Linked DNA regions of Oryctolagus cuniculus. The main gene of each other region encodes a partner of the protein of the gene in region 5 in a complex. Links are inferred from orthologs where the notes say so. Each region holds a gene or a part of one and is shown on either strand. Other genes may lie near its edges.

Evidence for each region.
Region 1: the proteins of SF3B3 (region 5) and PHF5A are in contact, whole or in part, in a crystal structure (PDB 7B91), measured with the Homo sapiens proteins. The link is inferred for Oryctolagus cuniculus from reciprocal best matches to the Homo sapiens genes SF3B3 and PHF5A. Residues at the interface, in NP_036558.3 of Homo sapiens: Gly85, Arg86, Gln104, Glu105, Thr106, Phe107, Gly108, Lys109, Ser110, Leu140, Ile154, Ser155, Ser156, Pro157, Glu159, Ser1162; in NP_116147.1 of Homo sapiens: Gln14, Ala15, Gly16, Val17, Arg44, Asp47, Glu79, Asp81, Arg82, Asp83.
Region 2: SF3B3 (region 5) and ZMAT2 share a complex: the UniProt entries of both Homo sapiens proteins name them as parts of the spliceosome B complex. The link is inferred for Oryctolagus cuniculus from reciprocal best matches to the Homo sapiens genes SF3B3 and ZMAT2.
Region 3: the proteins of SF3B3 (region 5) and DDX42 are in contact, whole or in part, in a cryo-EM structure (PDB 7EVN), measured with the Homo sapiens proteins. The link is inferred for Oryctolagus cuniculus from reciprocal best matches to the Homo sapiens genes SF3B3 and DDX42. Residues at the interface, in NP_036558.3 of Homo sapiens: Glu159, Ala160, His161, Tyr211, His219, Val220, Val221, Arg222, Lys223; in NP_031398.2 of Homo sapiens: Lys145, Gly146, Ile147, Arg148, Asp149, Asp150.
Region 4: SF3B3 (region 5) and IK share a complex: the UniProt entries of both Homo sapiens proteins name them as parts of the spliceosome B complex. The link is inferred for Oryctolagus cuniculus from reciprocal best matches to the Homo sapiens genes SF3B3 and IK.
Region 6: SF3B3 (region 5) and HTATSF1 share a complex: the UniProt entries of both Homo sapiens proteins name them as parts of the 17S U2 SnRNP complex. The link is inferred for Oryctolagus cuniculus from reciprocal best matches to the Homo sapiens genes SF3B3 and HTATSF1.

What each region holds. Positions count from the first base shown.
Region 1 is NC_091442.1:117,486,168-117,491,139, forward strand, and holds the start of PHF5A (PHD finger-like domain-containing protein 5A), read right to left. Parts: upstream 3,481-4,972; 5' UTR 3,289-3,480; coding exon 3,237-3,288; intron 2,857-3,236; coding exon 2,833-2,856; intron 2,457-2,832; coding exon 2,290-2,456; intron 1-2,289. Other genes in the region: ACO2 (aconitate hydratase, mitochondrial), read left to right, coding at 3,775-3,864.
Region 2 is NC_091437.1:28,328,317-28,333,380, reverse strand, and holds the start of ZMAT2 (zinc finger matrin-type protein 2), read right to left. Parts: upstream 3,028-5,064; 5' UTR 2,900-3,027; coding exon 2,882-2,899; intron 2,550-2,881; coding exon 2,456-2,549; intron 1,005-2,455; coding exon 881-1,004; intron 1-880. Other genes in the region: HARS2 (histidine--tRNA ligase, mitochondrial), read right to left, coding at 4,435-4,494, 4,865-5,011. UniProt on the Homo sapiens protein: Involved in pre-mRNA splicing as a component of the spliceosome.
Region 3 is NC_091448.1:14,944,377-14,949,273, forward strand, and holds the start of DDX42 (ATP-dependent RNA helicase DDX42), read right to left. Parts: upstream 3,492-4,897; 5' UTR 3,299-3,491; intron 1-3,298. UniProt on the Homo sapiens protein: ATP-dependent RNA helicase that binds to partially double-stranded RNAs (dsRNAs) in order to unwind RNA secondary structures. Unwinding is promoted in the presence of single-strand binding proteins.
Region 4 is NC_091437.1:28,275,823-28,280,796, forward strand, and holds the start of IK (protein Red), read left to right. Parts: upstream 1-1,688; 5' UTR 1,689-1,859; coding exon 1,860-1,875; intron 1,876-2,682; coding exon 2,683-2,749; intron 2,750-4,974. Other genes in the region: NDUFA2 (NADH dehydrogenase [ubiquinone] 1 alpha subcomplex subunit 2), read right to left, coding at 1,200-1,306, 1,433-1,620. UniProt on the Homo sapiens protein: Involved in pre-mRNA splicing as a component of the spliceosome. Auxiliary spliceosomal protein that regulates selection of alternative splice sites in a small set of target pre-mRNA species. Required for normal mitotic cell cycle progression.
Region 5 is NC_091449.1:56,664,595-56,668,971, reverse strand, and holds part of SF3B3 (splicing factor 3B subunit 3), read left to right. Parts: coding exon 1-63; intron 64-2,321; coding exon 2,322-2,477; intron 2,478-3,235; coding exon 3,236-3,391; intron 3,392-3,988; coding exon 3,989-4,132; intron 4,133-4,377. UniProt on the Homo sapiens protein: Component of the 17S U2 SnRNP complex of the spliceosome, a large ribonucleoprotein complex that removes introns from transcribed pre-mRNAs.
Region 6 is NC_091453.1:114,293,119-114,298,093, reverse strand, and holds the start of HTATSF1 (17S U2 SnRNP complex component HTATSF1), read right to left. Parts: upstream 3,436-4,975; 5' UTR 3,302-3,435; intron 3,053-3,301; 5' UTR 3,044-3,052; coding exon 2,858-3,043; intron 1,182-2,857; coding exon 1,001-1,181; intron 211-1,000; coding exon 163-210; intron 1-162. UniProt on the Homo sapiens protein: Component of the 17S U2 SnRNP complex of the spliceosome, a large ribonucleoprotein complex that removes introns from transcribed pre-mRNAs.

The DNA.
Region 1 (4,972 bases), on a different chromosome or scaffold from region 5:
CACACACACACACACACACAAAACCAGTGAAAAAGAGAAACAAATACACAAATCAAATCAAGATCCGTTCTCTAAAGCAGTATAATCCAGCTGGCAGACTACAACCTCATTTTTAGAAAGAGGAACATGATTTGAAAGTCAAAGGTAAATGCAAATCAAGGTCGAGGGCAGGAAAATGTGCAAATCACCAACTGAAACAGAGTCTGACACTCTACTTACAGCCCTTCTCATCTCCATAAGCAACACATGATCTGATGGTGCAAGGAAGGATCTTGGGGGCTGGTGCTGTGGTGTAGCAGGTAAAGCTGCCACCCGCAGTGCTGGCGTCCTGGACCACTTCCAATCCAGCGTCCCTGCTAATGGCCTGGGAAAGCAGCGGGAGATGGCCCAGGTGCTTGTGCCCCTGCCACCCCCATGGGAGACCAGGATGAAACTCCTGGCTCTGGCCTGGCTCAGCCCTGTCCATTTTGGCCATCTGGGGAGTGAACCACTGGGTGGAAGATCTCTCTAACTCTGACTTTCAAATAAGTGAATAATGATTTTTGTTTGTTTATTTAAAAGTGGAGCAGTCAGGACTGCAAATGGTGTTCTGATATGGAATGTGGGCATCCAAGCAGCAGCTCAATCTGCCGCACAATCCCCACTGCCTTCGTCTTGAGAAGAAGCAGATTCGTGGGTCTGTATCAGTAAGAGCCCTGTTGCCAGTACTATTCTAAATATAAAGGACAGAACTTGCCCTTGGCGCCGATCCACAAGGCCTTTCCCTGGCATCTGGCTCAGTGAGTCAAATACCTCACTACTGCCACTACATAATGTCAAGGGACAAATGTCTGAGGCAGATGTGCAATCAATTCTGCAATATGAAACCAACACAGCATCCACTCATACACACACACCCATGTATATAATTATTTAAAGTCCGAGTTAGAGAGAGACAGAAATATTTCATCTGCTTGTTCACTTCCCAAATGGCCGGAGCTGGGCTGGTCCGAAGCCAGGAGCCGGGAGCTGCTTCCAGGTCTCCCATGTGGGTGCAGGGGCCCAAGCACCTGGGCCATCCTCCACTGCTTTTCCAGGCACATTAGCAGGGAGCTGGATTGGAAGTGGAGCAGCCAAATCGAACCAGCACCCATACGGGATGCAGCTCCGCAGGTGGCAGCTTTACTGGCTATACCACAGCACTGGCCCCAGCATTCATTCCTTAGCGACTTAAAGCTGAAATCAACTTGAACCATCCCATGGGCACAGTGCATTAAGGCTTACAACACTGCTATCCCATACCGGAGCGCAGGTTCATATCCTGGCTGCTCCACTTCTTTTTTTTTTTTTTTTTTTTGGACAGGCAGAGTGGACAGTGAGAGAGACAGAGAGAAAGGTCTTCCTTTGCCGTTGGTTCACCCTCCAATGGCTGCCGCGGCCGGCGCACCGCACTGATCCGATGGCAGGAGCCAGGAGCCAGGTGCTTTTCCTGGTCTCCCATGGGGTGCAGGGCCCAAGCACTTGGGCCATCCTCCACTGCACTCCCTGGCCACAGCAGAGAGCTGGCCTGGAAGAGGGGCAACCTGGACAGAATCCGGCGCCCCGACGGGGACTAGAACCCGGTGTGCCGGCGCCGCTAGGCGGAGGATTAGCCTAGTGAGCCGCGGCGCCGGCTAGCTGGCTGCTCCACTTCTGACCCAGCTCCCTGTTAGTGCGCCTGGGAAAGCAGCAACAGCCCCAGTACCTGGGTGCCTGTCACCGATGTGGGAGGCCCAGAGGGAGTTTCAAGTCCCTGGCTTCTGCCTGGCCCAGCACCAGCTGTTGCATGCATCTGGGGAGTGAACCAGCAGATGGAAGATCACTCTCCCTGTCATTCTGCCTTAAAAAAAAAAAAGTCGTATTCCTTAAGCAACAAAAAGCCAACTTGAACTGCCTCCATGTCAATGCTGCTATCACATCAGCCAACAGCCATGCTCGATCCAAGGAAAACACCGAGCAGCTAATGCACACCACGCGCTGTGCTAGGACTTAGCAAGTGCAGGAGGCTGCGTCTGCGTGAGTAATCAGACACCAAAGCCAGGAGGGACGGCGCTCCCAAACTGCTGGTGTCCACAAGGACTTGCTCCTGTTGCACTTCTGTCTTTGGTCCAGAATAGCTGCCCTTTCGCGGACCACACCCAGCCTGGCTCAGGGAACGTGAAGCCATTACAACCTGGGCGGCCAGCTGAACACAGGACCCTCCACCGGCCAGAGGAGACCGCTGTGGGCAGCCAAGCCTTGGGAGGCTCAGAGCACAGCCCAGACACTCACGTCCTTCTCCTGGATGGTGCACTCCTTGCAGTAGTAGGCGTCGGAGACCCCGGGGCCGCCGCAGATCACGCAGCGCCCCTGGTAGGAGCCGTAGTTGCATTCGTCACAGATGCGCACCAGGGTGCAGGGACGCACGTAGGAGTCACAGATCACACACTTGCCGTCACCTGCAAGCAGAGACCCGAGTCACGCTCCCTGCTGCGTACCTCGGCCTCCGTCTACGCCGGCATCCACTTCCATCTCCTCCACAGGTAATAATAATAATACTAACAGCAATAAAAAGCGGTCAACGAACACCTGTCAGGGCCCGAGAGCCGCACCAGGGAGGCCAGGAGCTGAGTGTGTGCAAGGGGCGGGTCCCCACGGCTCTGGGACCCTCCCCTCCAGAGCCCACAGATTTCCCCCAAGCATGCGGGAAGGCGGAGGGGCCCCGGCAGCAGCCTGGCGTTCGGCGTTCGCGCGCCCCCAGGCACATCTCCCCGAAGCCCCCCGGCGGCCACGGGAACCCTGGGTGGTGGGGGGCGGAAGGCGTGTTCCACTCACATTTCTCACACAGTCTTCCGATGGCTGCAAGAGAAACGCAAACAGCGTTAGAGCGAAGGCTTTGATCAAGAGGAGCTCCTGGGGCTGGGCGTCGGGGCGGGGGCGAGGACAGCAGAGCCCCGCGGGATGGCCCTTGTCTCACTACGGACTTGGATCTGAAGCGAAGCGCCCGGCGCCCGGCCCCGGCCCCGGCCCCTGGCCGCCTGATCCGACTCCCAGCACGTGCGCCCCCGGCGGGCCACAGCACAGGCCACGCACTGGCACGCTCCTACGATACCCGCGACCGCCGAGGCGGGAAACGGGGCTGCCCTGAGGCAGTATCCTAAGGATGGAGTGGAAGTCCCCGGGCCCCCCGCTCGAACAACCCCCCTATCCAGGCAGCCGAGGGCAAGGCGCTGTCTCACCTACACCGGCCTGCTTGCGGCAGAAGATCAAGTCCGGATGATGTTTGGCCATAGCCCCGACCCTAGCTTGCCACCGGAAGCTCCGGGAACTTCCGTCCGCCCTTTACCCCGCTCTTGTTCCTGCCTCCAGGTCGCCGTGATTGGTCGTCGAGGCTTCCATCAGCAAGTACAAGCTGCACCGAGTCTCGCTCGCTCTCGCGAGAGTTTCTGGAGCTGCGGGAGGCCAGGTCCTGGTAGGTTCATGTAAGTCTTAAAGTAAAAAAAAAAAAGCCTCCCAGACTTGGATGGCAGAGATAACCTAAATCTGCTCTTGGATATAACATCTTTGTTCGCGGTGTTTAATTATGCAAGTTTTTTATTTCGGTTTTTAGTTTACCGTATCCGTACGTACTTTCAGGCATATCTTCCTTTCACGTGTCCGTTTCTCATCCCTGAGCTCCTCCCACTGCGCTGGCAGCACTTTGGCGCCCCCTAGGGAAGCCCCGCCTCCACCATGACGTGTCGCTCTTCAGGCCACGCCCCTGGCCGTAGGCTATAAATGAGCCCGGTGGCACGTCACTTTCACGCGACCTCATCTTTGTCAGTGCACAAAATGGCGCCTTACAGCCTACTGGTGACCCGGCTGCAGGTGAGAGAGCTCAGGGCCCTGTGGGTTCACAGGGGCGGGGTGCCTCCTGCTATGCCCGCGGCAGTGGGCGAGGCAAGGCGAGGCGGGCGCGTCTTCGGGCTGACTTCGCGTGCCCGTCCGGGTTGCGGGCGTAAGTCGGTGCCCGCTCCCCCAGTGCCCTAGGTCAAGGCGTCCCCGGGCCGTCAGTCCCTCCCTGCCCGCTAGGCAGCGTGGGCCCAGTGAGTGGCGGCCGGTGCAGAGTAGAGACACCTTTCCCCCCTTTCCGAGGACGGCAGCCCTCGCTCCCGTGGGGTGACTTCCCGTTTCTCAAGGTGAGGGCAAGGTGACTTGGGGGGCGCCGTGGTTGTTGAGCGCTCTAGGCCCAGCGCCCGCCGCCCTCGCTCCCCGCTCCGCAGCGGGGGCCTGCGAGCCGAGTGCGTCCGCGGTTGCCGGGCTTCGAGGCTGGAGAGGAAGCGCTAGTCCCTTAATCCATTTCTGGGGACCCTCCCGATCGTGCAGCCGCGAATTCGAGGGGCTTTTCCGGCTGCCGGAGGTAGCGCGTAGTCAGCTTCTCAGCAGACTGCAGGGCTGCTGTATGCTGGTCGCTTCGTATACTCACCCGGTGAGACCGAAGTGGGTTGATCGGCTCGCCTGATGGCTGGGGGAAGCCGCCCCTCTGCTGCTGGTCAGCCTGCTCTCACCGAGCTGCGGTGCGCTTATTTGCACTTGCCAGACTACAGAATGGCGCGTCTGAGCTCAGAATTAGTTGCTTTTCAAGTCCTAGATAGACAGCTAAGGGGACCGAGCAGTCTGACCTTGAGGGCTCTGTTGGGAGCCGTCCGGAAGGCTGTGTCTGCCAGATGGCCTCTCACTCCTAACTTGACGTATTCAAAAGTTCAATGTCAAAATGTGTGTTTCGTTAATAAAAGTTAAGAAAGCAAGTGTCTGTAGACATTTTCTGTTAAACTTTTAGCCATCAGCTTTGTGAGTCTTTGGATCAAACAGCACAACTTGGTAGAATCAATAAAGAAGTTGAATGCGTACCCTCACATTGTGTTACTTTTCATCGCACCGCTGGAGTTCTAAACCATATGGCTTCAGGAAAATCATTTATTCCAGAATACTTTTG
Region 2 (5,064 bases), on a different chromosome or scaffold from region 5:
CTTGTTCTTGAAAAAGGCAGTTGCTCTGTTGTGAGCAGTCCTACAGAGAGGTTCATAGGGTGAAAGAACTTAGGCCTCCAAACCATAGGTTTGTGAGGGAGCTTGGAAGCAGTTCCTTCAGCCCACTTAAGCCCGAGATGAATGCAAACCTAGCCAACTCCTTGCTTGTAGCTCCATGAAAGACCCTAGAGCAAGAACCACTTAGGTAAGCCACTTCCAGATTCCACACCCACACACACTGTGAACTTTTTGTTTTATGCTGCTAAACCTTGGGTTCCCTTATTAATTTATGTATCCACGGACAGAACTACTGCAGAGAAGAATGATAGCCACTCAAAGAAGTTTCACTCATTGCTACCTATGCTGACCTCCTGCTTGAAGTCCTAACTGCACAGAGAAACAGTGGTGGCAAAAGAATGGCAAGATCTTGTGGGAACCTTCTTCCTATAGGTTACAGTCTGGGTCAGGGAGGAAGGTGCACAACCAGGTAATCCATAACAACGGCAGCCTTTGTGCCAGTCTGGAACCTCAGCCCTTTTTCTGCACCATTAACAGCTCCAAAGCCCCTCCTAGTTCCACCTATTTCTCTCCTAGAAATCAACAGACTCTCTCCTCCTTTCTTCTTCTAACAAAGAATTCCTTTGAAGATGTAAGGAGCAGTTACACTGCCAACATGAACAAGGCCACAGAGTGGCCACTTCTGGAGACACTAATTGTTAACCTAAGACCGTGAAGGACAAAGTAAAACAAACCAAAGAGTGAAATGATAGGCAGCAAGGTTATTATCCTGGGGTTAGGGATCCTCAACATTTCCTAAAACAAATATATATAGTTTCTTGGACCTACTACAGCTGTTTGGAAAGATAAAAAAACCACTTACCCTCCCATCTCAGACTGTGGGGTGGTCTTGGTAATGACAATTGTCTTGCCAAGCTTAGATTCCAGGTCCACTTTGTAGTCTCTGTGTCGCAGAAGTTCCCGCTTGACTGGCTGCACTGGTTTTCCTGAAACATAATGAAGAAAGTCCCTTCAATATTACAGTTATCAGTCAGAAAGGAAAATAAATGCATTAAACCCAAAATTAATGATTCCTGAAAAAAGGCCACAACAGGCACCTCCAGCAGCAGTCAGCAGTAGTGAGGGAGAATCTGAACACAAGAAAAATGATAAGCAATCCCTACTATCTACAGCTTTTCTCCACTTTAAAGCCAGCTAATCTACAAGCTACATGTTTTCTATTTATTGATTAACTGAGGGGAAAAGTTATGAATTCCCACTAAAAGCAGCCTTTTCAAAAGAGCAAGGACATATGAGTAAAAAAAAAAAAAGTGAATTCGGTGAGAAGAGGGAATAATTTGTCACTTATACATAGTTAGGAACAGATCCTTTAATTATCCGGCATACCCAAGAAAGTTTATTAGTTTCAAGTCAACCAAAAAAAGAGCAAGGACACTCAGGAATTCTTTACAGGCAGATACCCTACGCATAACACACAAATGGCCAAATTTTAAAAGGGGGGCCAATATTTAGGAAATATCTATTCACAGACCAAGTACATAATACAGAAAAACCAAGAGGGTGGGGCCTGTGTTGCAGCAGTGAGCTAAGCTGCCAGCAGCAACATGATCGTCCCTTACTGGAGTGCCTGCTAGACTCCTGGGCTGCTCTGCTTTTGATTCAGTTCCTTGATAATGTGCCTGGGAAAGCAGGGAAGATGGCCAGAGTTTGGGCTCCTGCCACTCATGTGGGAGACCCGGCGGGAGCTCCCAGCTCCTGGCTATTACAGCCATTTGGAGAGTGAACCAGCCAATGGAAGGGTTCAGTCTCCCTCTGTCAATCTGCCTTTCATATAAATAAATAAATGTTAAACAATAACAAAAACAGCATTGTTGGCCTGTGAAAAGTGGTGTGGGAGTAAATAGAACAACGTGAAAACAGATGAGAAAAAATCAGACACTTCTTTTCCCAAAGTGGGCGCTATCTAGGAGAGGAGCATCCACGACGTCCCTGATGTCGCACAAGGCGCAGAGAAACAGCACGAGCGAGCGCCAGCTCAAAGGATCGCACGTTCCAGGCAGTACCCCGCTTGCCTCCGGCTCTAAGAGTCCCAGCTGCGCCAGGAATGTTCTCCTCCCTCTGAAGAGCTCTCAAGGAAAAGAAGGTGTCTTTGAGAGCAGTAATGCCCACCAGCCAATCAGTCCACTGAGCTTCTCTGTCACTACTAAGAAGCCCGGTCTCTGTAACTCAGGAAAGCACCAAATGAGCCAACCAATGAAAACAAGCAAACAGAGAACAGAGCTGAAAAGCACCACAAAACCTCTTTATTTCAGACGCGGAGAAGCCGCGGGCCACTTTGCCAAAAGTGCCACCCTGTAGGAGGGCAGCCCATCCCAACTCTCCCGCCCACTGCATCGCCGCCGCGACACCCCGAGCCCTGGACAGAGCAGGCACCCACCATCCTTCTTCTCCCTCTCTTCCGTGAGCCTCTTCTCGGCAAGCTTTTCGTATTCATCTTTGTCCCACTTTCGGCGAAAGTCCAAGTTTTTTGTCTGTGGGGAAAGAAAGCGCTCAAGACATGTCGCTATCGCGTCTGGACCCCTAGAAAGTCTGAAGGAACCACGTCCGCACCGCCAAGGCGGCTCCAGGATTTTTGGAAAGCGAAAGCTCTCCGGCCCAGACCAAGAGGCTAAAGTGGCCTCAGGACCCCAACCCAAGAGAACTCCGCGGTTCCACAGACCCCACGCCTTACGGAATTCTCGAACCCGGACCCTAGGACCGCGAAGTGTTGGGAAGCCAGTCCGCTGCAGGAGCTTGTTTCTATTCAGCACTGAGAAGTAACCCCACCGCCCCCAAAAACCTCCTCCTCACACACAACACATACCCCGCTGCCCGACGCCATCTTCACAGCGAAGTGAATGGGAGGCCGGAAAATGCTGTAAAAAGAGGCCCGGAGCCGTAAAGCAAGTCGGCCCTCCAATAAGCTTAGAGTCTCGTATTCTGAACGGGCTAAGGACTGGAGGGCTTTCACAACAGACTTGTCGGCCCCGCCTCTGCTCCAAGGAGACGGCGCAGGCGCAAGAAAAGTACGAAGCAACACGGAAGTAAGGGCGCCTGCAAACGTTTTTTGTACCGGCTTTCAAAACAAGCGGTGAAGAGCCGACACGTTTAATTCAGGTTCTGAAAATGCCTCTTTCTCTAATCAACTTTGCGTGCATTGTCAAGAGTTTCTAAACCTTAAGTCCCAACTACTACTAGGGGCTTTAGATGTCTCATTCCCCTGCAGCTGCTAGGGATGGGGCCCTGAACCGCACTGAAGTGTTGGCAACGGCTGAACCTTCCCAGGCAGAGACGGAGAGCGCTTTTTGCACTAGGGCTCTCTTTCTCGAAACAGTACTATCACTCTGGTTAACTCATTTTTTCCTTCAACTATGGAACATCATAGGTCATTCAGTCTCTAGGAAACCATTTCCTCAATATGACTGGACACAAGGCGGCCAATCATCAGCAATAATCAGGTGAAGCACTCGGGCAGATGGCTCAGGACACGTTGATTTCTAGCAACATGACTATCAGCGAGTCGGGGTGTGGGGGGCAGGAGTGGAAGAAGGGGCTGTGGTTGCTCCGTGCACAGACTACACCTCAGGGAGGTTACTTCTAGCTCACAGAATTCTTCAGTCTAAATTGAAACAAGCCAATGACCTAGGCAAGCCAATCCCTTGATAACACATCACTCAAACTACCACATTTAATACTTTATTTAACAAATTATTTAACCACCTGTAGAAAAGCAGGGCATGGAATAGTCGGAGCATGACTCTGGCATAGGAAATAGTCTCCAAAAGCTCAGATCTCCAACTTGACAAGCCACCAATGAAATTCAACCCCACTATCATAAACAGTGGCTGGCGGAGACGACAGATCAACTTGGGCACTCCCGCCCTTAGGACAGCATCTCCGCCCTCAAGCGAAGAGCAGTCATTGCTTCTCCTTGCTTTCTTTACAAAACTCCTTGGACATATCCAGGGTTCGTTGAGGACAAATCCCCCAGATTCTGGTTCCAAAGCTGCTGTGGAAGGTCCAGTATCTGCCTTCTGATCTCGATGGTTCAGAATCCTCAGCCTGAGGTGGCTCTCCCAGAGCCGAGCCCTGCTCCCAGCAACCCCTCAGCACCTCTTGGTGGCATTTAGCAGCACTCCAAATTTGCTTCCACAGCTGGAAAATGTCTTTCACACCCCAGCCATCTGCACCCATGCAGAGCAGCTTCCCGTACCAGCCCAGGAGTCCTCAGGCCTTCTACAGTTCTGTATCCAGGAAGGATGGAGGAGGTAGAAGTGCTTGCCACCTATCCTGGCCAGCTATGCTGGAATCCAGCAGGAATTCTGGCCCAGATGAAATCTCTTCTACAAAGAGCAGCAGACGGCTTTCAAGCAAGGATCAAGACTCAGACAGTCGCTTCTGAATTTCAGTCACAAGATCTTCCCGTTTAACAGCCACCTGAAACATACGAGACCCCTGAAGTGACAAACTAGAAAGTGATACTCACTCTTTAATCACTGTTTTTTCAGATTCATTTTACTCTGCGTGTACTGTGGGCTTCACGGTAATCTGGAGAACATACATCCTCAAGACTAAAGGGATTTGTTTACTTTGTTGGTCAGTCTCAAAGCACCATTTTGTTTCTCCTTCTTTGCCCATCAAGCCAATATTCACTGGCTACAATGGTTGTCTGGGGTGGGTCTTCTTCATTCATCTCTATCAACTATTAATCTTGGAGTTTTTCCTCATCAATACAATACATACTTCTTAAAAGAATCTTGAAAAGGTGCACATACTTGTGCTTCTGTTTCTGCCTGCTCCCACTTACCTCCCCTCTGCTGGCTACTGAACGGATCTTGACAACCCCTTCCTTCAGTTCTTGCTCACCAATAATGACCACCAATGGAATGCCTGTGTTCTCACAATAGTGCAGCTGACTTAATAATTTAGGGTTGTTCTTGTATGGCATCTCTGCCTACAAAGGAACAAGGTAGAGAACGTAAAAGTGACAAAGTACACAAACCTCTG
Region 3 (4,897 bases), on a different chromosome or scaffold from region 5:
AACTGGATTGAGTTCCTGGTTCCCAGCTTTGGACCAGCCAGCCCAAGCTACTGTGGGGCAACTGGGAAGAGATCAGTGGATAGCAGCACTCTGTCTCTGTTAAGCAATACTTCAATAGAACATACTGTTGTTCTAGGGAAAGTCACACCAAAGGGAGGGAAGCAGTCAGATGTTCAGGGCAAACCCTCTTCTTCAAGAGCCTAGACCCACATTTCTGATTCTATCACTCTCTTCAGTAACTCTTCACAGTAATTCAATTGGGCTGAATGAGACGCTGTACCCTGGCAACAAACTGCTTTACCATTTGTGTTTCCAGGGGTTTTCTCGCAGGCACTCAGTATTCCAAGAAAACCAAGCACCTCAGTGAATGTTCTGCCCTCTATCTACACAGGGAGAAGGATTGCCTTCTCACTGTATCTACTAAAGTCCTATCCTTCAGAGCCTATCTCAAGTAGAACATGACACGAATATTATATCCCCAGAGAAGTGGTATCACATTCCTCAAACTCCCTTTTTGGTCTTAAACACCTGATGTTTAATAATTTGTGTTCTTGTTTTATTCCTCCAACTGGCTCAAGCTTCTTTAGAAAATCCCATACAGCATGTTTTCCAGTGTAGGTGCTCTTTATTCATGTTTCTTCAATATACAGGAGACTCAAGAAGACACAGAACTTGGCTGATCAGAAAAATTTAAGAAGGCAACAGTCCTACTTGGAGTAGTTCTAAGAGGAGAAGAGTAAAGCACAGACTAATTCCGTTCAAACTCTGGGTTAGCCACCAACTTAATGTGAACCCCAAGGAAACTGACTTCTCTGAGCCTCAGTTTCCGCATCTGTAAAATGGTGAGACTATCCCCTAACTAAAAGGTTAGAGTATGAAACGGAGTTCACACACAAGAACACACTTAACAACGCCTGGCACATAGTAAGTATGTATGTTAGCTGCCATTATGTTTATCAATACTTCTCTGGAAGCCAGTTTCTCCATCAGATCTCTTTCAACTCAATAATTTCATACCAAAGTCCCACAAAATACTGAAGATGTTAGAGATCGCTATGAGTTGACAAGTGAGGGTAAGCATCTTAAGGAAACTTGAACCCAGACAAAGCACAGAAATATACAAGTTAGGAAAAGATATGCAAAGGAGGGAACTAGTGAGGGCTAGGAAGTGAGACTAAGAGTAGAATACAAGATGGTAACTGTGTTTTGGGCAATGGTGGAAAATAAGACAGGATAAAGGCAGAAGACTTAGAGCAGGCATTTAACCCCAAATTCAAGAAACCCACGTCCCACACAGGCATCACCTGTTGTTTTATACTTGGCTTTGGTTCCTGATTCCAGCTTCCTACTAACGCAGACCCAAAGGGGCAGCAGTGGTTGGGTTCCTGCCACCTGTATGAGAGATCTGAATTGAGTTCCCACCTCCTGGCTTTGGTCTGGCCCAGCCCAAACCAGCTGTCCCAGGCATTTGGGGAGTGAACCAGCAGATGAGAACTAGCTCACTGTCTCCCTGATAATCAAAAGAAGAAGAAAAGAGTGGACTAGAAACATCTGATTATATCAACCATATCATCACTTGTATTTTCATAGCTGGGAGAATTACAGTGACAGTTGATTAGCAATTTCTCCACCTAATAATGAAAACGTTATCCTTGAGAACATCTGGCATGCTGTCAGTGCTTTAATGAGGATCTGTATAAAATTTAGAAATTTCATCATTCTCCTAAGGTCAAATGTAAGTAATTGCTGAGTTATAGTTATTTTAGAAGTATAACTATACCTTTAGAAGTATATTTTAGAAGTATACCTTAGCTTAAAGATCCAGAGTTGATTATACAACTATCATTGTGATAAAATGCAAATTTAAAGAACCATGCTAGTACTCTGCTAATACTACTATAACGTAAGCCAGACCTTATCACCCCTCGGCTCAAAAATTCTCAGATGGCTCCCATCCCACAGAAAGCAAAGGTGCAATCCTTCCATTAGCCTAAAAGGCCCTGGTTGTTCTGTCCATCCTCTTCCCTGCTTCCTTGACCTTATCTCCTGCTCCAAACACATGGATCTTTTTACTGTTCCTCCAACAAGCCAGCCTTGTCCTCCCCTTGTGCTCCCTGCTCCCTTCCCCAGATGCAGACAGGGCTCATCCCCTCACCTCCTCCAGTCGGTCTGTAAGGGGCTCCCTGACCGCGCCTGCAAACTGCAACATCCCTCACCCCCTTTCTAGCTTTACATCTTTGATCACGTTCCTAGCACACAGTCAGACACACGCAGGTCTCTCTTCTCCCCACTAGAAGGTAACTTTCATAGGGGCACAGGCTTTCCCTAACACCTAGAACACACTACGCACCAACTACAGCATTTCTTTAACGGATTACAAATTAGGACTAGGTAAATAATACTCCTTTTAGGTACGGGAAAATGCCACCTTCTTACCCAGCTTAAGGCCTGCAAATCATTTTTTTGTACAAAACACTTACTGCTCACCTTCTTTGTGCCAGAACTGGGCGTGGCTCTGAAAAGTTTCAGGGAATTAAGACCTAGGACCTGCCCTTTAGGAGCTCCTGGGTGTGTATATACTGGAGAGAACCCATACGGAAACATCATTTACAAGAACATGCAAGGCAGACACAGGAAAGTGAATGACAGCCTAAAAGAGTGGCGGCAAAGAGGAAAATGCCCCCTAAGGTGACAGGGAGCCTCCGATTTCCCCAAACTCTAACAGGTACACTAGTTTTTCTTACATTTCTTTGTACACATACTTGCTTTATTTACTCACATCAGGCAGACTCTAAATCTTAAGTAGGCCGCAAAAAACTTTGTGTGATGCTCATCACTGATCTACTCCAGACTGCAAAGAGCACCGACTGTGTCTTTCACAGTCGTCTGATCTGGAAACTTGGGACTGTCGGAAGCCCCCGACCTGGGCACCTGCATGTCCCGAATGACGCCAGCTTAGGGCAGACTCTCCCCGTGGCTCTCCCCGCATCGGAGCCCGGCACCCTGCAAATCCCTTCCCTCTCCCGGCAGGCGCCACCTCCGGAAAGCCGCCAACTGGGCCTCGCTCAGAGTTGAGAGAGAAGCGGGAGCCGCGGGAGGCAGACGCGGATCGCAAGGCTCCCTAAAGGCCTCAGCCCGCACTCCCACTCCTTCCCGGGCCCCCGCACGCCGCTGCCCGAGGCTCCGCCGACTCTTTGTTAAGCGAGGCCGCGGTTCCAGGTCTCTCGCTAGGCCCCACAGTTGCCTCCAGTGCCCCCAAGGGTTAGCGGCCGCGCGTCCCGACCCCGCTCGCACAAACCTGCTGCTAGGGCTGCAGCGGCAGCCGGTACCACAGCCGCCGCCGAGAGAATCCGACGGACCCAAGTACGCGCGGGCTGGACCCCGTCCCGCCGCGCTCCGCCCTCTCCGCCCCCTTCGCAGCCGCTGCCGCCGCCGCCGCCTCACGGCCCGTTGCTGACGGGGAGGGGGAGGGGAACGCTCGCCAGACATGCGCAGAGGGGAGAGTGCGGCCGAAGGGCGGGGCCTGAGGCTACGGCGCCGGAAGGCGTCCTGACTCCCCTTCTTTAAAGCTCCGGAATGGCTCGCGGCTCCTCACACCTTGACAGGAAACCGCTGCTTGGTGAAGAGCGCTTATGGCTTGCCTAGCAAGTGGATATGGAAATAAAAGAGTAGGGCTGTCAGACAACCACCCAGAGATCCCAAGTGAAAAGAGGCTTGGACGGAAACACTTTTATAAAAATGTCGATTCCCTTCACTGTGGTCCCTTCCAGACACAACTTGAGCAATATTTTTCCACACGGCTGTGACCACGTGGTCCCGTGCAGCATGGCCACCTTTTGCTTCCGGAGCACCGGTTCAGAGCGCCGTCACTCGACTGAACCCGGGCGGAGAGGGCTAGGGCCGGAGAGGGTAGTTCCGGCCCAGGGGCGGGGATTATGTAATTTTCCCAGCAGTCCCACCTCACCTCAAATGGGCGTGGGAGATAGAGCGCGGGCCCGCCCCCCAGCCGCGCGCAGGCGCCGACGGGCCGCACGCATTCTACGTAACGGACGGCGGAGGCTACGTGAAGAGTGGCGCGGCGTGACTGCGCTACCTTGTCCGCCAGGGTCCTGGAGGCGTCGCGGACAGGAAGACCGCGGCGGCGGTGGAGACAGTGGCCAGGCTGAGAGGCAGGCGGGTGGAAGTGGCGGCCGCAGGAGTGCTGGGCCGGGTTTTAGCCTCGGGCGCAGGTAGGTAGTGGCCTCTGACGTCTTCGTAGGTGCGGCCCGGCCAGGCCGAGCGGTGGCTGAGTTGCGTGGCCCGGAGCCCGGCCGGGTTTCTCAGCCAGCGAGCCCTGAAGTCCGGCCGGTGGTAACACGCACTGCACCCCGCGCCCTCAGACCTCTCCCGTCTTTGTATATTAAAAAAAAAGGGGGGGCCAAGAGAGTCGCGGTTCCCCCTTTCCTTGCCTGTTTTCTGTTGGCGGTTAGGGGCTGGGTAATTTTAGTGGTTTTCGGGATCTTTCCTGCAGCGCGGTGAGCCAATGCCGTAGCTGTAGAGGAATTCACAGGGTGCAGCAGGATCGGAGCTCGACATTAGACGAGTTGACTCTCCGTGCTGGAGAGAGACTGGACGACAGGCGCAGTCGTGTTTTTATCCAGCACGAGTAAGGATTCAGGATTGTCAGCGTGATTCCTGCGAGTCCCGTGTTGTGGCCGCCGGCAGGAAGGCCTCGTCTCTAATGGCAACACGGAGTGAGCGCTCCCATTCGCGTCCGGACTCAGCCGCTGGGCGACTACTGGGCCTGACTTGTTCCCCTGCACCCTTGTTGGAGACCGGGAGGCTGGCAGGGAGTCGTGCATTTGAGAAGTGAGTTGACAGGTGCAGCCCCAGAGACGGAGGAGGGAAGGCCGTGGCA
Region 4 (4,974 bases), on a different chromosome or scaffold from region 5:
GAAGTGGCTTGAAGAGTCAACTGTGCACAAGCATAAAAGTCTCTATCTTACGATCTTGTTAGGATGGGAAGAGTGGTAAAGGAACATGACCAAGGGAGAGTGGGTATGACTGGGATTAATCCAGTGGGTCCCAAACTCAGGAAGCCCAGTTTCAAATACAATCTTGGCTGATTCTGGGCAGCCACGATGAGACTGAAAGTGTTCCAGGGAGGCTTTAAAGGGACACTGTAGATGTTTATTTTTAACTACCATGAGCAGTGTACTGTGTAGGCCCAGCCTTGGCTGGGCACCCATTCTTCACTAGCATAATATACTAGTCTCTCTGTCTCTATACTGACTTTTGGAATGTGAACTTTTTTCCCTTCAATTATTAGTGCATGGCACACTACAGTAAGAACAAATCTGCCTCTCCCCCAGCACATGATATCCCTAGGGCGGGGTGGAGTTACAAGCTATGATTAAAATCCCACGATTCAGTTCACATAAATACTGCATAACTACTATGTATTAGGCAACATGCTAAGAAATTTCCAGATTGCAATAAACTAGAATGGGGTAATACGATAAGGGGCTGGAGCAATATAACATGGGCAGGGAATGTCTTTTTAAGGTGGTAATACATCCATCCAACCCAAATCACAACAACCTAACAAGGGGCCAGTCATGGAGACCTAGTGCGTTCCCGGAAAAAGGAACAAAGGTAACGCATCTACCACGTTCTATCCTAGCTGCAGAGCTTTAGCTGTGCTCTGGACAGTTCTGATTCGGTTTCCAATCTCTGCAATAAGAAAAAAATCCCCTCGTGATTAACGAACTAAAGTGAGCCTTAAGTTAGGTAGAAGCCACTCAGCACAGGGATGGATGGCATTACGCGTCCAACGTCACGGGGACGCTCACACCACTTGGAGCGGCACCGGCCACACGCAGTTGGGAAGGCCCTACACCGCTGAGCGTCTCCTATCTGAAGTCGGCTCTGAACCACAGAAATGACAGCTCCTGGTCCCCGCGCAGGCCTCGACCACGTCCAAGTGGATGTTGTCTAGGCTACAGAGCATCACATGAACCCTGCGAATTTCAATTCCCTCACTGGCAACAAGGTCAACAGCAAGGCCAGAGTCCAAATTCCTGTCTCTTCGCAGGTTTCTGCCTCACTCTGGGCGGCCCCTTCTCTTTTTTTACCCCCGGCATCCCGCGCTCACCGTAACGGGCCCACAGTTTGGGCTGCACGTCGGAGCATTCACGGATTAGGATGGGTAGGTCGGGGTTTGCCTTCTTCAGCTCCACGTAGCGTTTCTCGATGAAGTCCCTGTGGGGCCGGGAGAGCGCCGCGCGTGCTGTGGGCACAGTCCTGCCCAAACACTGGGAGGTCGAGGTCGTGACCCCGGCGTCCCGAAGCCCGCCCGCCTGCTTGCCTCACCACGCCACGCCTCACCTGACGCCCTGGCTCCCGGGCGAGCGCTGACATAAGTGGATGCGAATCTCACGCAGCCCCAGTTTTGCCCCGACCCCTCGGGTCGCTGCGGCTGCCGCCATCTCCGCTGCTACTGAAGACCCCCAAGGCAGGTACTTCCGGCCAAGTTCTCTAGTCGGACCAATAGCGGACTCCCCAACCTCCGCCATCGATTGGGCGATGTAGAGGGCGGGGTAAAGGTTTAGCCAATGACAAAAAAGCGTTGTAGGGCCGCAGTGAGGTCATCTCTGTGCGCAGGGTGGGACGGATTCGAGAGGGAGGAAGCGGAAAGGCTCGGAACACAAAGCACTGTGGGTTCATTTCCGAGGTGCACTGTGGGAAGGGCTTGTTGCGACGGTGTTGTTGTTGGAAATTAGGCTCTTGCTGTCGTTGAAACGCAGGAGACAAGATGCCGGAGCGAGATAGTAAGTTCGGGTCATCTGTCCTTTTTTCCCTGCGGGACTCGGGGCACTTGGCGCTTTACCTCGGCTGCTGAGCTTGATGGTGTGTATGTGAGGCTTGCAGCCCAGCGAAGCTCTTGGGCCTTTTGAGCAGCTGCAGACTCCGTTCTCAAGCCTGGTTGCTGCCCCCAGAGAGGACGAACAGCTTGTGGCTGTGGCCTCTCCTTCCTCCCCCGCCCCCTTATTTACTCCTAGGTTGTGTCTGTTCTTTTTTTTTTTGACAGGCAGAGTGGACAGTGAGAGAGAGACAGAGAGAAAGGTCTTCCTTTGCCGTTGGTTCACCCTCCAATGGCCGCTGCAGCCAGCGCGCTGCGGCTGGCGCACCGCGCTGATCTCACGGCAGGAGCCAGGTGCTTCTCCTGGTCTCCCATGGGGTGCAGGGCCCAAGCACTTGGGCCATCCTCCACTGCCTTCCCGGGCCACAGCAGAGAGCTGGCCTGGAAGAGGGGCAACCGGGACAGAATTCGGTGCCCTGACCGGGACTAGAACCCGGTGTGCCGCAAGGCGGAGGATTAGCCTAGTGAGCCACGGCGCCAGCCTCCTTTTTCACGTAGTATTTTAGATGTGATCTTCAGGAAACCTTTGTTGACCAGCCAGCGCGGGTTTAGGGGCCGCTCTGCGTTACCACAGCTTCCCCCATGTCAGGACTTAGTACATTATATTGACGCCATCGCTGTTCTTAGGTTTCTGCTGTGTTCTTCACCACTGCATTCCCATTTTGACACAGGACCTGACGCATGAAATTAAATTAATGTCAATTCTTTTCGATAGGCGAGCCGTTCTCCAATCCTTTGGCCCCAGATGGCCATGATGTGGACGATCCTCACTCCTTCCATCAGTGAGTATTTTGTTGTAAGGCCAGAGAAAGGAATACGCTGAGCAACGGTGGAATGGAGTAGCGGTGAGAGGGTGAAAGAATTGTGAATTTCTTATCAACAAGAATAGTCCAAAAATAGTACCACTTGGCCTTTTATCACTATGAACCTTAACTGGGACAGGCCAACCACAAAAGATAATTCAATCAGTTCTAGCATGGAAGGTGCTAGTATTTTTTTTTTTAAGTTTCCTTGATGTATTTTGAAGGGATTGAAGAGTGACAGAGGTAGAGACATAGAAGAGAGATTTTTCACCCTCTGATTATCTGCCCAGGTGGCTACAGCCACCAGCGCTGGGCTAGGCGGAAGCCAGGAACTTAATCCAGCTCTTACTTGGGTAACATGGACCCACGCATTTGGGTCATCTGCTGCTGCTTTTCCCAGGCCATCAGCAGGGAGCTGGATCGGAAGTGGAGCAGCTGGGACATGAACCAGTGCCCATATGGGATACCAGCATTGCAGGTGACAGCTTTTACCTGCTATGCCAAATGCTGGCCCCAGGTGCTAGTTTTTTTTTTTTTTTTTTTTTTTTTTTAAATAAAGATGTATTTTATTTATTTGGAAGAGTTACAAAGAGAGATATAGACAGAGAAAGATTGGTCTTCCAACAGCTGGTTCAGTCCTCAAATGGCTGCAATGGCCAGAGCTGAGCTGATCCAGGAGCTTGAAGTCTCTTCTGGTCTCCCATGCGGGTGCAGGAGCCCAAGGACTTGGGCCATCCTCCACTGCTTTCCTGGCTCATTAGCAGAGAACTGGATTAGAAGTGGAGCAGTTGGGATGCAAACTGGTGCCCATATGGGCTGCTGGCACTGCAGGCTAGGGCTTTAACTCGCTGCACCACAGGGACAGCCCCAGTGCTAGATTTTTTTTTTTTTTTTTTTTTGACAGGCAGAGTGGACAGTGAGAGAGAGAGAAACAGAGAGAAAGGTCTTCCTTTGCCGTTGGTTCACCCTCCAATGGCCGCCGCGGCCGGCGCGCTGCGGCCGGCGCACCGCGCTGATCCGATGGCAGGAGCCAGGTGCCAGGTGCTTTTCCTGGTCTCCCATGGGGTGCAGGGCCCAAACACCTGGGCCATCCTCCACTGCACTCCCTGGCCACAGCAGAGAGCTGGCCTGGAAGAGGGGCAACCGGGACAGAATCCGGCGCCCCGACTGGGACTAGAACCCGGTGTGCCGGCGCCGCTAGGCGGAGGATTAGCCTAGTGAGCCGCGGCGCCGGCCACCAGTGCTAGATTTTTAAATGTTGTTTGATTAGACATTATACAGGAATTAATTCCTCTCATAGAATATTAAACTATAGGAAGGCTAGCACTGTGGTATAGTGGGAAAAGCCGCTGCCTGCAGTGCCAGCATCTCATATGGTCACCGGTTCAAGATCTGGCTGCTCTGCTTGTGATCCAGCTCTTCTGCTATGGGCTGGGAAGGCAGTAGAAGGTGGCCCAAGTCCTTGGACCCCTGCACCTGCATGGGAGACCTGGAAGAAGCTCCTGGCTCCTGGCTTCGGATCAGTGCAGCTCTGGGCGCTGCAGCCAATTGGGGAGTAAACCAGCAGATGGAAGACCTCTCTCTGTCTCTGTGTCTGTCTCTGTCTCTCTCTGCCTCTCCTTCTCTGTGTAACTCCGACTTTCAAATAAATAAATAAATCTTTTTTTTTTTAAATAAAGTATAGGAATTAAAGGTAAAGTTGTAATTGATAACATCCCCAATTCTGGTCTGTTTCTTAGAGGTAACCATTGGAGAAAGATTTTTGTGGCAGTGACAAAGAACCCAGGAGTCTTGTTTTTGACTAGAGCTTGGACTGCAAATCCTGTGTGTGTGTGTGTGTGTGTTTTTTTTTTTAAGATTTATTTTATTTATTTGAAAGAGCTACAGAGAGAGGTAGAGACAGAGAGAGAGGTCTTCCATCTGCTGGTTCACTCCCCAGATTGCTGCAACGGTCAGAGCTGAGATGATCCGAGGCCAGGAGCCAGGAGCTTCCTCTGGGTCTACCATGTGGGCGCAGGGGCCCAAGGGCTTGGGCTATCTTTCACTGCTCTCCCAGACCATAGCAGAGAGCTGAATTGGAAGAGGAGCAGCTGGGACTAGAACCAGGGCCCATATGGGATGCTGGTGCTTCAGGCCAGGGCTGCAGGGCCACTGCGCCACAGCGCCAGTCTCCTGAGTCCTGTTTTAACAAAGAACAGAATTCC
Region 5 (4,377 bases):
GGATTTCTGGGCACCACCCCAACCTTGTCCTGCTCCTTACTGGGAGATGATGCCCTGGTGCAGGTGAGGAGTCTCAGGGCTTACTTCCTACTTAGCTTGTGTTGTCCTTTCTTTGCCTTCATTGGCTATAGGCTGCTGTGTTCCTGTCTCTCTTCACTCTCACCTTTGTTAACATAGAGAACTGGCCTAAGAATTAGTTCTTTCAGATTTTGTTTTAAAAGATTCATTTTATTTATTTGAAAGTGTTACAGAGGGAAGTAGAGCCAGAGAGAGAGAGAGAAAAAGATTTTCCATTCGCTGGTTCACTTCCCGAATGACTTCAGTGTCCAGAACTGAGCTGATCCAAAGCCAGGAGCCAGCACTCTTGCTTTACTAGGCCAAAGCAGAGAGCTGGATCCGAAGTGGAGCAGCAGAGACTCAAAGCAGTGCCCGTGTGGGATGCTGGCACTGCAAGCTAGGGCTTTAAACCACTGCACCCCATCACCGGCCCTTATTTTATTTTATTTTATTTTATTTAAAGATTGATTTATTTGGGCCTGGTGCTGTGGCATAGTGGGTAAAAGCCACCACCTGCAGTGTTGGCATCCCATATTGGCGCCAATTCAAGTCCCAGCTGCTCCACTTCAGGTCCAGCTCTCTGCTGTGGCCTGGGAATGCAGTAGGAGATGGCCCATGTCCTTGTGCCCCTGCACCTGCATGGGCCAGAATCTCCTGGCTTCTGGTTTCAGATCGGCACAGCTCTGGCCATTGCGGCCAATTCGGGAGTAAACCAGGCGGATGGAAGACCTCTCTCTTCCTCTCCTCTCTGTGTAACTCTGGCTTTCAAATAAATAAATAAATCTTTTTTTTTTTTTTTTTTTTTTAATTTATTTACTTCATTGGCAGAGTTACAGACAAAGAAAGGGAGAGAGAGAGAGATCTTCCATCTACTGTTCGCTCCCCAAATGGCTGCAGTGCCCAGATCTGGGCCAATCCCAAGCCTAGAGCCAGGAGGCCCAGAGCTGCCTCAGGGTCTCCTGTGCAGGTGCAGAGGCCCAAGCACTTGGCCCTTCTTTATTGCTTTCCCAGGCCATAAGCAGAGAGCCTGATCAGAAAAAGATCAGCTGGGACTTGAGCTCTTGCCCATATGGGATGTCAGTGCTGCAAGTGGATGCGTAAACTACTACGCCACAGCGCCGACCCCAGTTCTTTCAGATTTTAAATAATTCAGCTTTTTGGCTGGCACCGCAGCTCAATAAGCTAATCCTCCGCCTGCCTGCAGCGCTGGCACACCGGGTTCTAGTCCCGGTCGGGGCGCTGGATTCTGTCCCGTTTGCCCCTCTTCCAGGCCAGCTCTCTGCTGTGGCCACGGAGTGCAGTGGAGGATGGCCCAAGTGCTTGGGCCCTGCACCCCATGGGAGACCAGGAGAAGCACCTGGCTCCTGCCATCGGATCAATGCGGTGCGCCGGCCGCAGCGGCCATTGGAGGGTGAACCAACGGCAAAGGAAGACCTTTGTCTCTCTCTCTCTCTCACTGTCCACTCTGCCTGTCAAAAAAAAATAATAATAATCCAGTTTTAGAATTTTGGTGCATGACATCCTTTCTGCCATTTCTATGTTACTGACACATACCATAAATGCTTTCATTTTTATCAAAGAGGGTTTTTTTTTTTTTTAAAGAAACTGTTCTCTTTTTTTTTTAAGATTTTATTTATTTGAGTGGTAGAGTTACAGATAGTGAAAGGGAGAGACAGAAAAAGTCTTTCATCCGCTGATTCATTCCTCAAAACAGCTGCAGCAGTCAGAGATGGGCCGACCTGAAACTAGGAACTTCTTTCAGGTCTCCCACGTAGGTGCAGGGGCCCAAGGCTTGTGCCAAATTGAACTGCTTTTCCAGGTTATAGCAGAGAGCTGGATTGAAAGAGGAGCAGCTGGGATTAGAACCAGTGCTCATATGGGATGCTGGTGCTGGAGGTGGAGAATCAACCTACTGCACCACAGCACTAGCCCCAATAGTTTTTTTTCTAATACATTATTTTTCATCTTCCTTTCTTTTTTGAAACAGAGTTAGAGAAATTTTCCATATGCTGGTTTACTCCCCAAATGGCTGCAATGGTTGGTGCTGGTCCAGGCCAAAGCCAGGAACCTGGAACTATATCTGGGCCCCTTATGTGGTGGGTGCCAGGCTCTTGGCATCTTCCACCACCTTCCTTGGTGCTTTTGTAGTTTACTCTTCATGGGCTTCACATTCAATGTCTTAACATCTCCTTTGGGTAAGGATGGGGTATCAGATCTGATAGGTGTTGCAGGTTGTTGTCAGTGATGAGTGTTTTTGCCTCTAGGTGTACCCAGATGGCATTCGGCACATACGGGCAGACAAGAGAGTCAACGAGTGGAAGACTCCTGGAAAGAAGACAATTGTGAAGTGTGCGGTGAACCAGCGACAAGTGGTGATTGCCCTGACAGGAGGAGAGCTGGTCTATTTTGAGATGGATCCTGTATGTTATTTTTATCATCCACTGTGGGAGTTGTAGTCCAGGCATCTATATTATATTCACAAAAAGTATTGAGGAGTGAAAGTGTCCATTAGCAAACCAGGCATTTTTATAGAAAAGAGGAAAGAATAAGGTGATACCTAATTCTAATTAGAATTAGAAATATCTTCTTAGCAATGAGACAGTTGTCTTAATGCAGTTCGCACTCTACTTTTCCAACTGAAGTTTGGCATAGATTTGTGTCTGCAATCTGAATTTGTGTCTGAGTTGTTCCTTTGCTCTTCTAATATGGAAGGATGGTAGATAACTCTGTCTCTCTCTCTCTCTTTTTTTTTTTTTTTTTTTTTTTTTTTTGCTCTTAGGAAATCTCCAACATAGCCAGTTTTCATAGTCTTAGTGTTTGTTACAGCTTTGTGTTTATCACATATGAATTCCTTTCGCTCAAGGTTTTCTCATGAATGAGCAGTTTTTGTTTCTTGACAGCTGGTTTGCTTAGAAAATTTGTGGTACATTGAACTTGTCAAAGGTCTCTTGATTGTCTTGTCAGTGGGAGAAAGTAATTTTGTTTATGGTTAGCTTATGAAGTTCAATCTTTGGCTCTTGGGTTGGGAAATTCTTGGATGTCTCTATTTAGAGTAATGAAAGAAAGCTGAAAGAAACCTTAAACAGTCTGCTTCCCTTCCTGTCTCCTGGGTGTAGGGTTTGTGGGTGAATTAGGGTATTTCTTTCGCCCTGTACTTTGTGACCTTTCCTTTCTCTAGTCAGGACAGCTGAATGAGTACACAGAACGGAAAGAGATGTCAGCAGATGTGGTGTGCATGAGTCTGGCCAATGTGCCTCCTGGAGAACAGCGGTCTCGTTTCCTGGCTGTGGGACTGGTAGACAATACTGTCCGAATTATCTCCCTGGACCCCTCGGTGAGTGATGCCCTTGTATTCAAGGATCTTCTGGTTTAACCCGAGTACCTGGCCTGTGCATGGTGTCTCTTGAGATTAGCAGGACTGGGCTCCACAGTCTATGTTGCTATGTCTATTGGTTACCATTGCAACATAGCCCAGGCATCCTCCGCTGTGGTTTGAGGATGCTCAACTGAGACTATGAGATATTTCTTTGGCATAAGCTTTGGTTTCCCTGTGTAGTTTTTTAAAAATCAGCAAAGAAGCTTAAAGAAACCAAACAGTTGCTTTCCCCTCTGGATATAGGATCTCGGGCTGAGTTGGGTATGTTTTATCCCTCTGTGTTTGCATAGGAGCAATTGACTTGCTCCAGGGCTTTTGATGGCTTTGAGGGAGGTGTCCTTTGCTTATTTACTCTTCCATTGTATGTTTTAACATAATAAGGCATGTTACTCTCAAAGCTTATGCCCAGATGTCCCCCCCCTTAGAAATCAGTCTTGGGGTTTTCTCTGCCCACTAGAGTACTTCAGTCCTAGAATTAGATTCCTCTTAGGGATGTCTTTCTAAAATTGATCATTTATTGTGATTTTTATGATTTTCTCTCCCTTCCCGCCCCAGGACTGTTTGCAACCTCTGAGCATGCAGGCTCTCCCAGCCCAGCCTGAGTCCTTGTGTATTGTGGAAATGGGGGGAACGGAGAAGCAGGATGAGCTGGGTGAGAGGGGCTCTATTGGATTCCTATACTTGAATATTGGGCTACAGGTAAGAAATCCAGAAACTCACATTGTTGGTATCAGCCTGTCTGTAGGTTCCTTGTACTCCATTGTCCTACACAGGCATTTTTGTGCACTTGGTATCAGAGACTCAGTGTAGGAAAATGAATGGCATTGCTCTCCATTCCACTTTTCTCAGCTCTTTAATTAGAACAAATGAAACCTGAGGAATATTTGGAGAGAGAAAAAGTATTTGTAGAGCGTTCACATCTGACAGCGCTTTGCAGTTGCTAC
Region 6 (4,975 bases), on a different chromosome or scaffold from region 5:
TGTCATAAACATATACTTAATGAATGTATACAGCTGAGCAACAACAACAAAGCACAGTGATAAGAAATGGACTTTAAAGAAACTGAAAACTAAAAATCACTTTGTAAGAAAACTGAACAACCAAGTATTCACTATCCCAAATTTGTTTAAAAGTATACAAACCAGACACATATACATTTGTATTTCTGTCTTCTTCAACATGAAACCATCCTAAAAATACAAATGAAATAAATATATAAAACTCAAGGTAATGTAAGATTTATATTATAAAATATATAAACAGTGGCAGTCTGTTGAAACTTACAAGAACTTTATCTTATTCTTAGAAAACTAAGACAAACTCATTTAAAGCACTACCCAGCTTTCCAAGTGTTTGAATCTTTTGACAGATGCAGTATTGTCTTAAAAAAAGGCCTGTTTATTTTGATTGTTGCTTATTATTTAGATTTTTGACTAGTACGTAATATTTGTACATTTTGAAATGTGTTATTTATTTTTATCTACTTGGAAAACAGAGAGAGATATCTTCCATCTGTTGTTTCATTCTTGAAATGTCCACAAACAAGGTTGGGCTGGGTCAGGCCAAAAACAGGAGTCCAGAATTCCTCCTAGTGTCCCACATGGGTAGCAGGGGCCCAAGGACTTGATCCGTCATCTGCTCCCCTCCAGAATACAGATACAGGAAGCTGAATCAGAAGCTGAGGAGCCACAACTTAAACTGACACTCTGATATGGGGTGCCGGGTTCCCAGTGGCAGCTTAACCTGCTGCACCACAATACCGATCCCTACTTAAACATTTTCATGGGCTATAGTAAAATTTTTCAATATACAAATAGAGCATAAACTAATCAAATCAGGTAATTATGAATCTGCCATTATTTAAATAAAAAAATCTTGCCATTTGTTCAAAGCTATTATAAATCTCCAAAAAGTAACTCTATGTATACATTCACACTTTTAAGTTTTTACACTCATATTCTGCAAGCTAGAACTACTTGCCTGACTCGGATTTTCTTTTTTCTCCCTTCTTTCTGGGATCAGTGGGTTCAGGAGTTTTTCTTTGTGGAGGTTCCTCAGCAATCCTAGTATTGACATCTTGTATGTTTGCCGTAGAACTAGATGCGCCATCATTAGAGAAGCCATAATTGGCCTGATATGTAGCAATGAAATCTTCAGTGATCTAAACAAGAAATTTAGTTCATGCACGTGTGTGCATACACATACAAACACATGCACAGAAATTCAGTTATTTCCACCCATAAACTTCAAACTGTGTCATATTACAGACTATTTGGCTATATAACTTACCATCGAAGACGCTGCGTGAATAATAATTGTAGTTGTAGTGATTAAAGTGTAAATCCAAGAATGGTCACCTGATACAAATACTTAAATTATCAAGACAAAAGTCTGTGGTACTAATAAAGCACTTTAAGTGATGTTGGTCCCTTTTCTAGTTGATGCATTTATAAATTACTACCTCTCCACAGTCTACTGACTAAGGCTACACATACATATAACAAAGGAAATACCAGGTAACAATACGACAGGATAACAACCTACAGTCAACTAATAAGCTAACCACAAAATCCACTTTTTTTACTGTATAGAAGCACACATATATTTCCACTTAATTATTCAATATGTGAATTCAAAGAGCACATAGAATGGAAGTGTGATGTGGCATACAAAGAATGAGACTCATAATTACAAAGCTAAATGATCATTTGAAATCTATCACTAATGAAATCACCATTTAGAATCAGAATCAATTCAGGGCAAATCCAACTAGTTTTGGGGGGAAAATGGACTATTATATAATGTTAGAAAAGTGCTTATAGCATCACACCAATTCAATCAACATTCAGTACACACATGAATGGGGAAAATTTAAAACTCAAAGTTTGAAGAGGTAAGGGCCTCAATAACACAAAAATGTAGAACGATAAATTAATCCACTACCAGACTACTGTTAAAAGTACTCAGAAGGCTGAAGAAAGCCAATTTGCCTCAAGCTGACACTACCTGTACTTTTGTAAAATAGCAAATTTTAAAAAGTTGGAGAACTTTCAATATATACAAATATAAAATGGGAAAGAAAAGTAGAAATGAAGACTTTTTCACAGATCAGTCTAATCACACAATGGAGACACGCTGTGTTTTGTTGGTTTGCATGTCTTGGTGTGCTATTAGTAGTCTTTCTGGCCTCCACAGGAGACTCAGAATAACAGAGTGCTTCTACAGCAAAGTTTACAGAACCAAGTTTCACTAGTTATGTTACTTCCAAGCAGAAATAAAATATCTAACAATTTCTCAGTACTCCAAACTAACATGCACACATCTTTTCCAACCATACTCTGCGCATCCCTCATTGTATTCTTGTGGATGTAAAGTTCAAACATAAATGCCTAAGGACAAACGCAGCAGGCAGAGAAAGCAAGGAGCAAACAAAGTTCATTCAGCACAAGTATATAAACAGCAACTTTTTGTAAACGAAGACATATGCTAAACGTGAATTCCTACGATAAGTGAGGTAAGCGAGGGCGGCTATCTGAGATGATCAGCTACAAAATTTTTTGTGTGTTTTTCCTCTTTGCAATAAAAAAGTCATCAATAGAATAGCCAACTGTGACCTTCACAGACAAAATAAAGCACGGAAAAGGCATTTAATACCCCATTCGAAAGATTTACGTTCCTTTACACATCAACTCTGCAAAAGACACAACAAAAACAAGCGTCACCATCCAGGGGGGTGAGGACCACAGACCTGACTGAGTGAGCACAGCAAATGTAAAAGTGCTCTGTGAAGCTGGCCAGGCGGCCCGCTCTGCAGTGGCGCCAGTGCTACTCGCTTACCTTGGGGAACCAAGCCTTCTTGTCTAGGTCCCACTCGTACGGGGTGTCAGCCGCCTGCTGCCCGAAAGAATCGGGTTCTCCGCCGGGATCGTTCTGGGTGTCACCCTCCTTGGTGTCTCCGTACAATTCTTGCATTCGCAACTGCTCATCAAACTCGTCGTTCCCACCCAAGTTGTTGCCGCTCATGTTTCCTACCTAGCCCAGAAGCAGGGTTCAGACGAGCGAAGAGGCCGAAATGACGCCAGAGAGGGGATCTGAGAAGGAGGTCGGCCGTGCTCCGCTCCCGCCCCGCGGCCCCCCGGCCCGCCTCCCCACGGCGCCCCAGCAATCCCCGGGAAGTCGGGACCGCTCGCCGCCGCGCCGCCCCTCGCTCCGCGCGGCTGTCCGCCCGCCCACTGCGCGCGCGCGCGCCGATCCTCTCAGCTCGGCTCCGCCACCGCCCACCTGGCTTGAACCACCGGGCCTCGGCGGCGCCGCCGCTCGGTCCAGGGCGCGGCGAGAGCGCGCACGCGCGCCGCCGCCACCGCCGCTCGGGTCTGAGACGACTGCAATTCTCGCGGCAGCGTCAGGAAATGACTTCAAACGGAGCCCTCCTCAGGCTGACGCAGTCGCCATTGTGGGCGCGGTGTGACGTCCTGTGTCGCGCCGACACGCCTACCATGACGTCAAAAGGTGCCGACGAAGGCCTGAGGCGCAGGGTCCGGAGGGGCGGGGCGCCAAGGAATGCGCGGCTGTCGTGCGTTGATGACCACCAGGCCCTTCCTGTGGACGAGATGAGGTCCTTTAGGGCAATGCAGTCCCTTGGGGGCCTTAGGCCCCGTGGGTCTTCGGAAGGTTCGGCCTGGCTGACCTAGTCCGGGCGGTACCCCAAAGGAAGGTGTGGGAATACTGCCTTGCAGTGGGCGCCATCTTGGGGGAGTGGGTGGGACCGGCAGGACAGGTTTCTCTCGCTTCCTTAAAACGCAAAAACGTCGCGTCTCCGTCGCCCAAAAACTCTTCCCTGCTTCGGTGTCATGTCTTTTACTTATTTGTTTCTGATTGCCCTGGGATAGGCTCCGGCTCTGGCTCATCTTGGTAGCCTAATCACCTGCTGCAGGATTTGCTGTCTAGTGTGCAGTGACTGAATGAACGAACAAACCAAGGATAAGCACAAGGATCAACCTTTGCCTAATCTCAGACTCCTGTTTGATCGTCTCATGCCTTCCTCTGGACGAAGAGTTGGACTCTGCCTGCCTCGTCCTCCAGGATTCAGAAGTGCTCAAGCCCCAAACTTGAAACGTAAACATAAACATCCCAGTGTAAACACAACCTGTGCTGGCCCAGTAACTTTGTCTTTCCTTTAGAAAGATACAGCACGCTTTTGTTCTAAACAGAACTTTTTTTTTTCCCTGCAAATTACTTGCTTTGCTGAAAACGAAGAAGTCCATATTTGTCACTTGGTATAACAGTTATTGAACTAGTAAGTGTCAGGCAATGTACTAGGCTCTGGTGACTCAACAGTCAACAAGATGGGCACAGCTCGTGGGAAACAGGCTCAGGAAGGCTAATAAATCTGACAGGAGAGGTATGGGGTGCCAGAGACAGTGGTTCTCAAACTTTCTGATCACAGGATCGCTTTACTCCCCCAAAATACTGAAGAGTCCAAAGAGTTTTTGTTTATATGGTTTATATTTACCATTATTTCCAAAACAGTCATTTTAATGAGTATTTATTAGTCCATTTAAAAATGACAGCCCGTTAGGTGTTCATTGAGGATGGAGAAAAGCTCCTCAGAAAAAATTATTTCTACTATTCCAGTGACATTTGCTTCGAAACTTAGCAGCTGAGTATGAATTCTAGAAAATCCTGGCTCCTCACATGCCAACTGTGTGAATCCATGTTTCAACCATAACCATAGTTTTTGAAATAGTAGTTTGGGTTTGTATTTGTTTATATTTTTGTTTTAAGTACATTTCTGTTTCATTACATTCTTGTTCTGGTCAGAACTATTGGAGAACTGAACTTGCAGGCATTTTCATAATATAGATAATGTGAGTTTTATTGGGCTCATTTAAACATTGCTAAGTATATCTTCTTGGATCCAAAAATAGTATACAGTTGTTTTCAGCAATGTGTTAT